3 linked regions of the Rattus norvegicus genome follow. The protein of the gene in region 1 binds, or shares a complex with, the protein of each later gene. Links are inferred from orthologs where the notes say so. Each region holds a gene or a part of one and is shown on either strand. Other genes may lie near its edges.

The links. Proteins that work in one complex are often made in the same cells at the same time.
Region 2: Ndufab1 (region 1) and Fdx2 share a complex: the UniProt entries of both Homo sapiens proteins name them as parts of the mitochondrial core iron-sulfur cluster (ISC) complex. The link is inferred for Rattus norvegicus from reciprocal best matches to the Homo sapiens genes NDUFAB1 and FDX2.
Region 3: the proteins of Ndufab1 (region 1) and Lyrm4 are in contact, whole or in part, in a crystal structure (PDB 6ODD), measured with the Homo sapiens proteins. The link is inferred for Rattus norvegicus from reciprocal best matches to the Homo sapiens genes NDUFAB1 and LYRM4. Residues at the interface, in NP_004994.1 of Homo sapiens: Lys92, Asp111, Ser112, Leu113, Asp114, Val116, Glu117, Met120, Glu123, Asp124, Glu129, Ile130, Asp132; in NP_065141.3 of Homo sapiens: Arg6, Leu10, Ser11, Tyr13, Arg14, Leu17, Arg18, Lys21, Arg37, Phe40, Arg41, Lys44.

Annotation. Positions count from the first base shown.
Region 1 is NC_086019.1:186,086,537-186,090,836, reverse strand, and holds the start of Ndufab1 (acyl carrier protein, mitochondrial), read left to right. Parts: upstream 1-1,500; 5' UTR 1,501-1,527; coding exon 1,528-1,695; intron 1,696-4,300. UniProt on the Homo sapiens protein: Carrier of the growing fatty acid chain in fatty acid biosynthesis.
Region 2 is NC_086026.1:27,883,208-27,887,249, forward strand, and holds the start of Fdx2 (ferredoxin-2, mitochondrial), read right to left. Parts: upstream 2,801-4,042; 5' UTR 2,784-2,800; coding exon 2,666-2,783; intron 2,596-2,665; coding exon 2,541-2,595; intron 2,452-2,540; coding exon 2,345-2,451; intron 1,247-2,344; exon of another isoform or gene 1,084-1,246; intron 1-1,083. UniProt on the Homo sapiens protein: Electron donor, of the core iron-sulfur cluster (ISC) assembly complex, that acts to reduce the persulfide into sulfide during [2Fe-2S] clusters assembly on the scaffolding protein ISCU.
Region 3 is NC_086035.1:28,950,756-28,954,711, reverse strand, and holds the start of Lyrm4 (LYR motif-containing protein 4), read right to left. Parts: upstream 2,801-3,956; 5' UTR 2,434-2,800; coding exon 2,348-2,433; intron 1-2,347.

The sequences.
Region 1 (4,300 bases):
ACTGGGAAAGTGCGTTAGTGTAGGAGTTTGCCCCTCGGGTGTCTGCTGTGTTTACTGTCCAGCTGGTGTGTAGGTTTCACCAGAGTTGCCACTTGTCCATTTTGTTTACAGTCTCAAATTTCAAGGTGTGAAAATGAATTCCTATCTGCAAAGCTGTAAGTAATCTATTTAATCTGTAATATACACATATAGTTCAGTTTTGTTTGCTTTGTTTTTGTTGTACTGCAGACAGAATCTAGAACTTGGGTCATCCTAGGCAAACTGTCTACACTCATACATTATCAAAATTTAAAATATGTATTGTTAGACTTCAACATTGGTTAGTCTTCAGTTGACTCATATAAGCACATGGAGTTTTGTGGTGATGGTGGTTGGGTTATCTATTCATTTTTTTAAAATCTATTTCGAGATAGGACCTTGCTATGTAGTCTAGGCTACCACACCATCGATGATCCTCCTGCCTTAGCCTCTGGAACTGAGAATGTGGATATGGCAGTCACACCTACCTGGCTGCTAGTCTTAAATAGATTCTTTCTCACACTTATAATTTGTACTGAGGTTTCACTAAAGCCAAAAAAAGAAAAAATCTTAATGGTATGGGAGAATTGTGGCATATTTTATTTTTTGAGGGCTTCACTATAATAACCCTGGCTATCTTGGAACTTGCTTGTAGACCAGGGTGTCTTTGAACTCTCTGAGATCCTCTTGTCTGCAGAGTGATGGCATTAAAGATGCTTGCCACCATGCGATGATCACCAGCAAACACTTTTTTTTTTTTTGACAGAAAATGATGCAGTTTTAATATACCATTTTGCAGAAAGGGTCACCAGCACAGAGAAAAGGCAAAAATTGCTTTCGGGTTGATTTTGCCGAAGACCGTCGTTTCTGAACCCCTGACCACAGGAAATTCCTGCTTTTTTCTCCCATAGGCTAGACATAAGATTCACAATCTAGCATAGTCCCCTTCTCAAATTCCCTATCCTTTTTATTTAGGAGGAAAAGCCTTACTTAATGAGTTAATTCGAGGCTTGAGACTACCCCTTTTGTTGGTTGTGGGCTCACCCATATAGCTGATTGCCTATAACTTTTTTCTATTTATTTTTTACTTATTCACTTTACATCCTGCTCACTGCCCTCTCCCGATCATCCCCTCCCACAATCCTTCCCCCTCCTCCTCTCCTTCTCTGAGTGGGTAAGGGCCCCCTGGTTACCCCTCTATCCTCTACGAGGCTAAACGCTTTCTCTCCCACTGACAGCCAACAGTATATTTCAGGACTTTGGGAGAAGAAACAAGTCAGTTTCTTTTTTGAGTCAGTGACAGCGTTTAGGGTTAGATGGCATTTGTGCAGTTGCACCACAGTAGCCCTTGCCCTTCAAACGGAGGTGGGTGCAGCGCGGCTGGGAGCCGCCAGGGACCGCCAGCGCCCGCAAAGCCCTCAAGCGCCGCTCTGTACGTCGCAGGCGTAAGGCGCTACCAGCGGCTTCGGCGGGAGGCCACGGCGCGGTGCATCCTGGGTTGGCGTAGCCATGGCGTCTCGTGTCCTTTGCGCCTGTGTCCGCCGCCTGCCTGCGGCCTTTGCGCCGCTGCCCCGGCTTCCCACGTTGGCTTTGGCCCGGCCGCTCAGCACCATTCTCTGCCCTGAGGGAATCTGGAGAAGAACCGGGACTCTGCAGCCCACCTTGGCGCTCGCGCAGGTGACTCGCGGTGACTTTGCCGGAGCTAGTCAGGGGTCAGGGCTCCGGGCCATCCGGGCTGGGGGAGGGGCTCCAGCCAGCTGCACACAACATGCAGGGGTGGTCGGGGTACACGGCTAGCCCCACTGCTAGACGGGTTTTGGTTGACCACTGTCGCGAAGCTAAGTGTCTTATGATTAGAGCACAGGATTTTGACCAAGTCTTGACTGAACAGCAAAATTGGACACCAGCTCTCATCCTTGCGGAGTGGCAATGAAGTTTAGTTGAGAGATCGGGTAGAGCACGTATTGCCTTTGTCAATTGTGATGATGGCAATTACTGTGGTCACCTCCTAGGGAAGTGCACAAGAGGAAAACCACTTGCCTACAATAGCCCTCTCCAGAATGTTCTCTAGGTTCCTAGAGTTCTATCGTAATTTACCCGTTGTGGCACCTTTTGTCTGTGAGTCTTCTGGAAATAAGGATAGGAAACAAGTCCTTTGTAGTTTGCATATTTAATGAAACCAGTGTTATGCTTAAACTGTGAGGATGTCACTTTCAACCCTAGACGCCCAACAGAAGACCCTAGTGAGCCCTCTTCCTGCTCCCCTTCTTACCCCGCTGGGATCAAGCCCTGGCATGGCATTTTAAGTTCCCAGTGTACATGCAGGATTAGGGACTACTGTAGGATAGTCTCTGGGTCTAGTTGAAGAACCCCTTTTCTGTACTCAGCGAGCTTCCTGCAGTAGTGGTTCAGTCACACCTACATGCTACAAGAAGAAATAAGGTTCTACATCCAGTGCTGAGATTCACTAACAGTGTAATAGGTAGACAGGCCACTGTCTGTATCAAAAGGTTGTCATTATAAAAGTATTATAAGGGCAGTAAAGTTACCATGCCCTGGATCTAGAGATTAATTTCAGATTAAGCTAAAATGTGATCTTACGTTCTTACGACATTGCTTCTCAAACTTAAGTTGTGCACACAGATCATTCAGTAGGTCTGTAAGGTGTTTATTTTCGTGGGCTTTCTAGATGGGGTCCTGGGACCGTGCTTTGAACAGGTGGTGCTCTCTCTGCCTGCTTTATACAGATAGTAGAGGAACTGCTTTATGCTTACAGAATGGTTTTGATTAAGTTCATTCACAGATGTGGAGATGCAGTTGTTTCCAAAATATCTTAGGTTTGTTATTGGTCTGTGAACGTTCTCTGTACATCAGAAAGCAAATGGTAAGCGAGGTTTGTTAAAGGAATAAGAGACCTTTTCTCTGAATCACCCAGCTTAGATGAGTGAAATAAGTTGGCTTGGAAATTTCCAGAAAATGGAGAGGGAGTAGACTAAGGAAGAGTTTTGAAGAGGTGAGGGTTTATTTCAAACAGCTGAGTTTAAGGTGCCCCAGTTCATGAGGTTTGCAGTGGGCAAGTGAGAGATGGCCTTTAAAGCTTTTCCATAAACAAAGGACAAAGGCGAGTAGGATGGACTCTAATGCAGACTCATCAGTAGTGGGCCAGCTTAGAGTCGCTGCACATAGTGCCATCCTTGGTGCTTAGAGGTGATTGATGTCACACGTGAGTCTGGGGAGAACTCTAACTGAGACAGCCCGTATTGACTACAGGGAAGGTACTTTTTAACGGTAGACATCTGGCAGGTGGAAGCGGTTTAGCTCCTCCAAGAGAGGATGCAGGATAATGTAGGGCAGGATACCTACCATCCTGTGTCTTTTTGTAAAAAGTGTAACATACTGGCCCTGGAACTTATCAGTGATGCCTGGTGAATTACTGACACCTAGTGGCCTACATGAGTAACTGCACACAAGTCCACTCCAGTCACTTGTTTTCTCACTGCCTGTTCTCAACACTGTTTCTCCTTTTCTTCCATGTTAAATGCACTTCATACCAGCCCTGTGTTTCCTGTGATTGTTGTCTTTGAGACAGAGTCTCATTTTATCTTAGGCTGGCCTTGGTGAGAATATGTTACTCTGTGCTCACTTTGGGAGCAAGCCCTAGGACTGCAGCCCTGAACCACCCATGTCTTATTAAGTCCGCTTGATCTTTTTTTCCTTCCAGTCTAGAAATTGAACCTAGGGCCTCACTCATGCAGATAAGCCGTCAACTCCTGTCCCTTAATAGTTTCTAATCTCTTCTCAACTCCTTCTTGATATGCACACGAGATATGTTAGATCCTCCTACCTCAGACTTTTCTGTCATTCTCACTGTTAACATTTTTCTCCCACTTTCTCTTATTCCTGTCTGTCCTTCATCTTATCTGTGGCCTTTTTAGGTCATTGTAATGAGCAGGACTGGCAGTTTGTCTCTATCACAGGCCTCTGATATACAGTATAAAGGGAACAGTAGATTTAGGCACCAAAAGCGCCCTGCCATTCTTATTCAGAAATCTAGAATATTTTTCAGCTAATCTCTCTAGTTTTCTGATTAAAGAAGTTTGCTGCCGAGTAAGTATATGTGTACATTGGTTTAGTTTATGTATGTCCTTGCTATATACAGTCAGGCTTGCCTGGACTCTGGGTCTCCCTACCTCAGCCTCCCGAGTGTTAGGGTTACATTTGACACCACAGCATGTCTTGGGTCATTTTTTCATAGACACACTCAGGGTCCTGAGTGCCAACA
Region 2 (4,042 bases), on another chromosome or scaffold:
TGGCTGGCTGTTGATGTACTCTGCTCTCTACCAAGCATTAAATACGTTCATTCTCTCAGCAATCCACCAAACAAAAGAAACAGAAGGCTCGGAGAAACCGGCTCAGAGTTCACAGAGTTGGTGAGGCACCAGAGACATGGATGGTTTGCTTCTGAACTGTTACAAATTCTGTTCTGCACAGCGTCTGCTAGACTTGGGAACAGAAACACTCATCCACCCCCTAACCTCTCTAGTGATTTTTAGTGGTTTGGGGTTTATTTTGAGAAAGAGAATCACTCTGTATGCTGTCCTGGAATTTGCTATGTAGACAGACACCAGGCTGGCCTCAAACTCACAGACATCTACCAGCCTCTCCTCCCAAGTGCTGGCATGAAAAGTGTGCACCACCATGCCTGGCCACCTCTGCCACCTAGATTCCTCAGGCCTCCTATCCCATTAACTCAGCACCGTCCCTCCCAACTGGTCTGCCAACGAAAACCTAACTGTGTTTATTCTTGGGCGTATGGTTCCTGGTAGGCTCAAAATGGCCATTCTGATATGACAGAGGACCTGTCACTTTGGTACACACAGTAGATAGTATTCACACAGGGACTCTCATCATTTGGGGGGAGGGGCAATTTTTTTCATAATTTGTCATAATTTTTGAGATAGGGACTCTTGCTAAATTATCCAGGCTGGGTATGAATCTGAACAGGGCCTTGTTACAAGTCGCTGGTTGGCCTGGAGTGCACTCATTGGGTAAAGCAGTTACCGCCAAGCCCAGTAGCCCGAGTTCAATCCCTAGGAAAATAACATGGAAGGAGTGAACCGACTCCCTCAAGTTGTCCATTCATCTCTACAGAGGCACACACGCACTAAATAAATCCAATAAGGAAAACACTCAGCAGAACTCACACAGGAGCGACATGAGATGACTAATGACCTGATTCATGTCTGAAATCAGGTTTTGCCACACACACTACTCTTGCTTCTGCACCCTGCTTACCACAACATGGTGCACAGCTCCCTTCTCTGCAAGGTGGAATTACTGCCTCCTCTATTCCTGAAGCTGTCCCAAGGGATAGGCACTCAACACACACTGACCTCAGACCTGCTTACAGAGGCTTGGGAGTTACAGCTGGTATGAATGAGGCTCACTGTGGGAGAGACGTCAGAGAGCAAACACAGACCAAGCTCTGAGGCCACTAAATACCCAGACAGACGGGCACGGGCTTAAGCTGGGTGAAAGGATGCCACACTGTCAAGTCTGCAGAATGAGAAAGAGCCAAGCATTTGTTGGGGAAACACTTCTGACAGAGAACAAGCACAGAGGTCCTAGGCTGGGACTGAGCTTTGATGCCTGAAGAGAGCAAGAGCAGTGAGGGTCCAGCTGCACATCTGTGACCCAGCCCTGGAGACAGAGATCCTGCCTCCATACTTCTCCCCAAAAGGTGCTCAGTGGTGGACTAGAGAATGGAAGGGTCAACATCACGAATCCACAAGCTCAAAAGAACAGACTCCAGGAGCCTGTAGTAAAAGCTTGGTAAGGGCTGCTCGAAAACCCAATTTTATTTTAGTATTATTTTAAGGAAAGATTTCCAGTGTTTATATATGTTTCTGTGTGGACTGTGCATGAGAATGCAGTGCCCATGGGGACCAGGTGAGGGAATGTACATGGCAGAAGGCTGTGAACTGCCTGGCATAGAGTCGGTGGTAGGAAGAGAACACAGGTCTTCTCACAAGCCATCTGCAGTCTTTAGCACTGGTGACCTTTCCAGTTCCACTATTGCTTCGGCTTTAACTCAAAGATGGTGAAACAAGAAAGACAACCTGTATTCCCAGAACTGAGAACGCTGAGGAGTAGATCAGCCAGTGGTTTTAGAGGTAAGTCACAGAGACTGTCTTAATCTTTTTTGCACTAAAGAGGTGGAGGCAGGGGGATCACTATAGTGCGTTTGAGCCTAGTCTGGTTACCTAGCTGGTTTCAGAACAGCCTGAATAACATGGACTCAGTCCTTCCCACCCCATCTATACAGTAGTATGATAGCACATGCCTGTGGTCTCAGGACTCAGGAAGTGGAGGCAGTAGGTTCACTGTAATGTGTTGAAGGCTAACCGGGATTACATACTTAAAAGTTCCTGGACCGCCTGATTCAGAGTGAGCCCTGACCCACCCATACCCCACTTAAACAAAAATATCGCATTGTGGTACTGCACACCAGCTCTCGGGCGGTGGAGGCAGAAGGGTCAGAAGTTCAAAGTCACCCACAGATACTTAAGTTCGAGGTCAGCCTGAGCTATATGAAACCTTGTCTCAAAAAAAACAAAAAGAATGCCAAGGTCTCCCTAGTTTCATATGACCTACCTTCCAGGTCCACCCCGTGACGCTGGGCCAGATGAAGAACATTGTCCCCGACTCTGCCCCTCACCGGGATCCGCTTGCCAGAGCGGTCCACGAACACCACGTTGACCCTGGGGACAAACGGTGCAGGTGCTGAGCCCGAGGCCGGCCTGTGGCTAGGTGGCAGGGCGGGGCAGGGCGTGGCACGGCGGGCACTCACACATCCCGGGGCAGCTCCGGGCTGTCCGCCTCGTCCTCGCCAGCACGCCGCTCGCCTGTAAACACACGAGTGGGTGAGCGGCTGCGGCCGCACTGCCCGCCACGGCCCAGCCCAGCTCTATGTACCTGTAGACCCGAACGTCCTAGATGTTACTGCCGCGTGCCCGGCCCTGGGTCCCCAAGATCCCCCGGCCGCCCGTAACAAGACCCGGGCGCTCACGCCACGGGCCATGGAGGCGGCCATGATAGGCCACGTGACCGGAAGACCGAGTATCCCCGGCGCGTCGCCGCTACTCTAATCGCAGCGTTTGATCGCCGTGTGAGGTCACGTACTTGATCCAGCTGAACTTCCGGCCTCGCCCCCTGGTTGGATTCTTTTCCCCCTTAGGCCTCATTGTATATGTTCTGCTTATATGTACGTATGAGCACCAAGTACGTGCCTTGTGGAGCCCAGAAGAGTTAAAGGGTAGTGTGGGGGCTGGGAACTAACTAAACTCTGTTCTCTGTAAGAGCAGCAATTGGGACCAACCTCCGAGTCCTTTAATAATTAGACAGGATTCCTTCATTTGGCCTTTAACTCTGAAAGCCTCTGCCGGAATTAAGGGTTATGTGCAACCATGCCCAAGATTTAAATTGTTTCAGACTGGGTCTCTATATAGACTAAATGTAGATCAGGCTGGCCTCCAAGCCCAATTTAGATTTTAGGGATTGTGTGTGAGCACATCTGTGCCATGTTTGTAGGTCAGAGGACAACTTGTGGAAGTCAGTTCTCCTTCCGCCTTTTGGGCCAGAGGGCTAACTCAGGTTGTCAGGATTAGTGTCAAGTCCTGTACCAGAATACTGAGCTATTTTGCTGGGCCCATGGTTTATAACAAGAACCAGCCAGCTCTGATGTTTTTTTCTTAAAACCGTTTACTTACAAACTTTAATTCAGCAAAGGTCAGGGAGCAGGGGAGGGCAGGAAGGGGGAAAGGGGAGGGAATGCCCCCTACTGGAGTGAGTTTGGTTCATCAGGTTTGAGGAGGGAGGCTGGTGGTGGCTCAGCTGGCCAGGGGCAGAGTCCCTAGGTCCCCTCAGATGGGCAGAGAGGAGACCTGCTCCAGTGATCCAGCCTGGGGATGGTGATGATCTGGGTTTGAAGGAACATGGTAGAGGTCCAGTGGCCTGGGTACAATGGTCACCTTTCACAGACAGCAGGGGACACTGTTGAAGCCAGCAGAAAATACTGGTCTCTGCACCCAAGCTTAGGGCAAAAGGGGTGGTTTGCCAAGACCAAGGCTTTGGCCTTCTGTCCAGAGGGCAGACACCCTGGAGAAAGGATGAACCCTAGGCCAGAGCTCTTTGGTCCTGAGCTGAGCTTTTGGAGCTCCGCATCTGAGAGGCTCTGACCCAGCAGGACCTGTGGCCCAACTTTAAGGCATCAGAAGGCAGGGGCTGGAGATCCTGGGGCTTAGGGTACTGGCCGGAGTAGGCAGGCAGGGGCATGACACAGCTATACCTGCA
Region 3 (3,956 bases), on another chromosome or scaffold:
CTGCTATGCGTTGCCCTTTCTACCCTGTTTGCAGAGTTAGATTCTCTAGTGCTTAGTTTTGATTGGTTCATGAAAAATAGTACATCACTAGGTTGTCAAAAATCAATGTGCTAACATACCTATGGAACAGAACACAGTGCCATAAAGAAGTGACCAATGGGTACTCAGTGAATGACTTTGGTGGGCTGAGAGAAGAGGGACAGGGTATCTTTGAATTCTATGGGGGCGTTGTAAAGGCAGACTTATTTTACACGAAGCAAGTTCTACTTTCTTGGGACATAATGCTGGCAGGGTTGTCAGGTTTTGGATATCTGGAAAAAGTGACCACCAGATTCCTGTGGAAAATACATCGGTGTGAGGCACAGACTAAGAGCCTATCAGCATATAGTTGCTGTGCTGAAGCTCATTCTCTAGTTTCTGTTAGGCACAGCCTAGGTTTTTCTGTTTACTCCTACAGTTTAGGAAAACTTTAGGTGTGCTGGCTCTTAAGTCACTTCCAGATGGAAATTTAGAAATGAAAGGGCCCTTAAGAGGCTGTCTAGTCCAGTGAATTAGTTTTACCACCAGGAAAACTGAATCCTAGAGTCTCAGTAACTCCAAGGTTCCATATCCTGTGAGGGCTGCTACCTGTGTTTTATATAACTTGTTTCCAGATGTGTCCCCCAGTGTGAGCTTCTGCTTAGTCCTCGTTTATTCAGTGCCTTTTTATTTTTGAGACAGACGTCTTCTAGAGTGTAAGGACCACTCCGAGCATTTACTTCCAAGTCTCCTGTGGTCCATCACTGGTAAGCAAGTGACAACAGATATTTATGGAGACTTCCTCCAGGCGGTTTAGCGCTTATGCCCCTGTTCCTCCAAAGCCAACACCATCACACAAAACCATGTTTCATTTAACCCCGTGCTTAGTGGTATGAGGTCACTTGTCTAACCCATGTGCTGTCCTCAGTTGATATGACAACTATATTTTCTCAGCGTGTTTCTGAAATATGAATTACTGTTGGAAAGGTTGGTCGATCTGTCTACAGGCTAAAGTTGTGCATAGCCTGCCTACCACAGGGCCCGGCAGCTCAATCCCTAGAGAAGGGTGCACCCTAGAACCAGGTCTGTTTCAGGAGTTAACCGAAGAGACCCCCAGCCCATAGCCTAGTCAGTCACCCATGGGCATAATGCTTGTTAAGTAACTGAAACACTTGGGAAGTAACTGCAAACATTCATTTAACTGGGGGAAAATGACCTGGTTTCATCACATTCTTGTTCTGAGGAGTATGGTTCAATCTCGAAGGATTTAGGTAATTAATCAATAAGACATCAAATCTCAGAAAAACCCTAAAGGCTCTACAGAAATGTTGGGCCAGAAGTTTCAAAGCAGAGACTATGAAGGTGAAGGACTCAAGGTTGAGTGTTGTTGTCCTTGTTTGTGTATTGTTCTGTTTCTTGAGACAGGGTTTCTCTGTGTGGTCCGTGGTGGCCTCAATTTCAGAGTTCTACCTGCCTCTGTCTCCTTCCCCAGTGCTGGGGTGAAAGGTGTGTACCAGAACCACATGGCAAGTATAAGGGGTTCATACACACGTGGGACAACAGGCCAAGCATGGACAAACGGGCTGAGTTAAAATGTACGAGCTTTAGTGCATGAAAGTGTGGTGCACACATACTACCTCATTAACATAATTTTTGTGTTTATGTATAACTTAAACTACACCCAAGATTTAAATGTTTTTGAAGAATTGATGCTCTAGTCCCCTTGTGATTTGTCCTAGACTCTAGGATCTAGAAGGAAGATCTCAGTTCGGCGAGGCAAGATCAAGTAAGAACTCAGTTTTTAAAAGCTTAGCAACAAATTTCACCTTTAACACTCCTTGTATACGTAGCCTCTCTCTACCATCCTTTAATAAGAAAGCATCTGGTACTTGGAACCAAAGTCGGGAATTAAAACACCAGTGAAATGAAAGGGGGCTGTAGGGCAAGCCTTCAGTTTTGTGGCCACGTGGTCTGGACCGACTGCTTCCACTCTTGTAATCTCAAGGCAAGTTTCATGTATGCTGTGTTTCCTTGTCCTAACTTCTCACTTCAGCTTCGCGTCCATCACTTCGAACCTCAGAAACAAGGCACAGACCAATGGTCCTAAAGCCCCTACGTGGGTGTCAGCTCAGGGAAGATGTCCCAGGACTTGAAGGGCAAGTACTTGGCTCCTCCCATCCCCGGCTCTGAGGGTCACACCTGGGGGTGGGTAGTTGCACGTGAGTGTCATAGACGTGGAGCCTGTCACTATCAAAGGTTGTGGCCGCCTGATCCGCGACCCCCACAAACAGAGTTGGGCACCCGATTCCCGGCCTTCCCCCCGGGTCACCTGTAATTGTAGGCGCTGAAATGCTTGCTCTCTCTCATCATCGCCCGGTACAGATCTAAAACTTGTGCGCGGCTGGAGGCTGCCATGTTGGAAACGAAAAAAAAAAAAAAATCAAAACCTAACAACAAAACCAAACAGGTCCTTCTTCGTAAAGGTGCCAAGTTTAACTGAACAGAAATGTCAAACGATGCAAAAAGCACGCTGGAAGGCAGGAGCAGCGGCTCGGCCTGGCTTGCGGCCTGGCACGCGCCCCGCGCGAGAGGTGGCGCCGCAGGCAGGACGGAGGGCAGCTAAGGGGAGGCGCCCGTAACTTGGACCCTCTGCGTTCCTCTCAGGCTGCCCCACCGGCAGGAGGCCAAGCCGTCCAGCCCCAGGCTCGCTCCTCCGGAGGACAGTCGGGCTCGAACACCGTGGCTCACAGCCTCCTTATCCTTCCGAACCGCCTGGGGGCGTGGCCTGGACCCTTTTGTCTCCGGACACCACGCCCCCTACACCTGCCCAGGCCCGGTTGCCTGGGTGACGAAGCGCACCCCTTAGCTCCGCCCTTGCCCGATTCGGCTGTCTTTGTCACTGCCTGACCTGCTGTGCGCGACAGCGAGGGTGACTTTGATTTGACTCGGCCTGGTTGGAAGCCTGAGGTTATAAGTGTCATCTTGGTTGGGGGACGCAGCGCCAGAGGTGCAGAGGTGACTAGTTATTGACTTCCTGGAGCACCGGCTTTTCTCTGGGCGAGCGGCACAAGGGACCTCGGGCCCGGGCCTCTTTCCGTCAAGATGGCGGCGCCCAGCGCGCACAGTGTCTGGGTAGCTTGAGGTTAAGCTCAGCGACTACCGATTGAACGTGTGGCCGCGTTGCGGACTTCGAAACACCCGCGTTTGTGTTTCCCCGGCGTAGGCTGGGTGAGTGCTGGCCTTGCTGCAGAGTTGAGGTGTCAGGTCGCCTGCTGTTATGCATTTTGCAATCGGCTGTGACTTCCATTTCCGGGATATTCATTGAAGGGGCTACACTATTTTTTGTTTTTTTTTTCTTTTTTTCTTACACTTTTTTTTTTAAATTTTTGAGACAGGGTCTCGTTTTGTAGTTCAGACTGCCTTTGAGTTCTTGGTCGCAGCTTTCCCAGTGTTGGGATTACATGTGTGGGACACCATGCACTACTTTTTTGATTAAGAGCACACAATTTAGCAGTGTGTAAAAAAAAGCTAAAAGTCTCGACTTTAAATGTCATGGTTAATTAGGGAACTCTTAGGACTTTAGGGGGTTTCTTAGGCATCCTTTCAGACCCAAGACAAGAACAGGGTTTTCCTCAGCATTTAGCTATTAGGAACCAACTTACTAAAGTAAGTTTCTTGGTTTGTTCCTTGATTTTAGGACTGTGCGAAGAGAAGTTTCCGATAATTCTGGTTATTGTGTTTGGAACGCACTTGTTAGTTTTGGGTCTTGTTTTATATTAAGATCTTGCAATGATCCATTCCTTTCATATCCCCCGCCTCTAAACACAGCAAAGAGTAATTTCTAAAGGCAACTTACCATGCCTTGTCGTTTGTTTTAGTGTATCAAGTTTTGAAACGATGCATGTTCTATTCGAAACAACTTGTGTTTTCAGGATCAT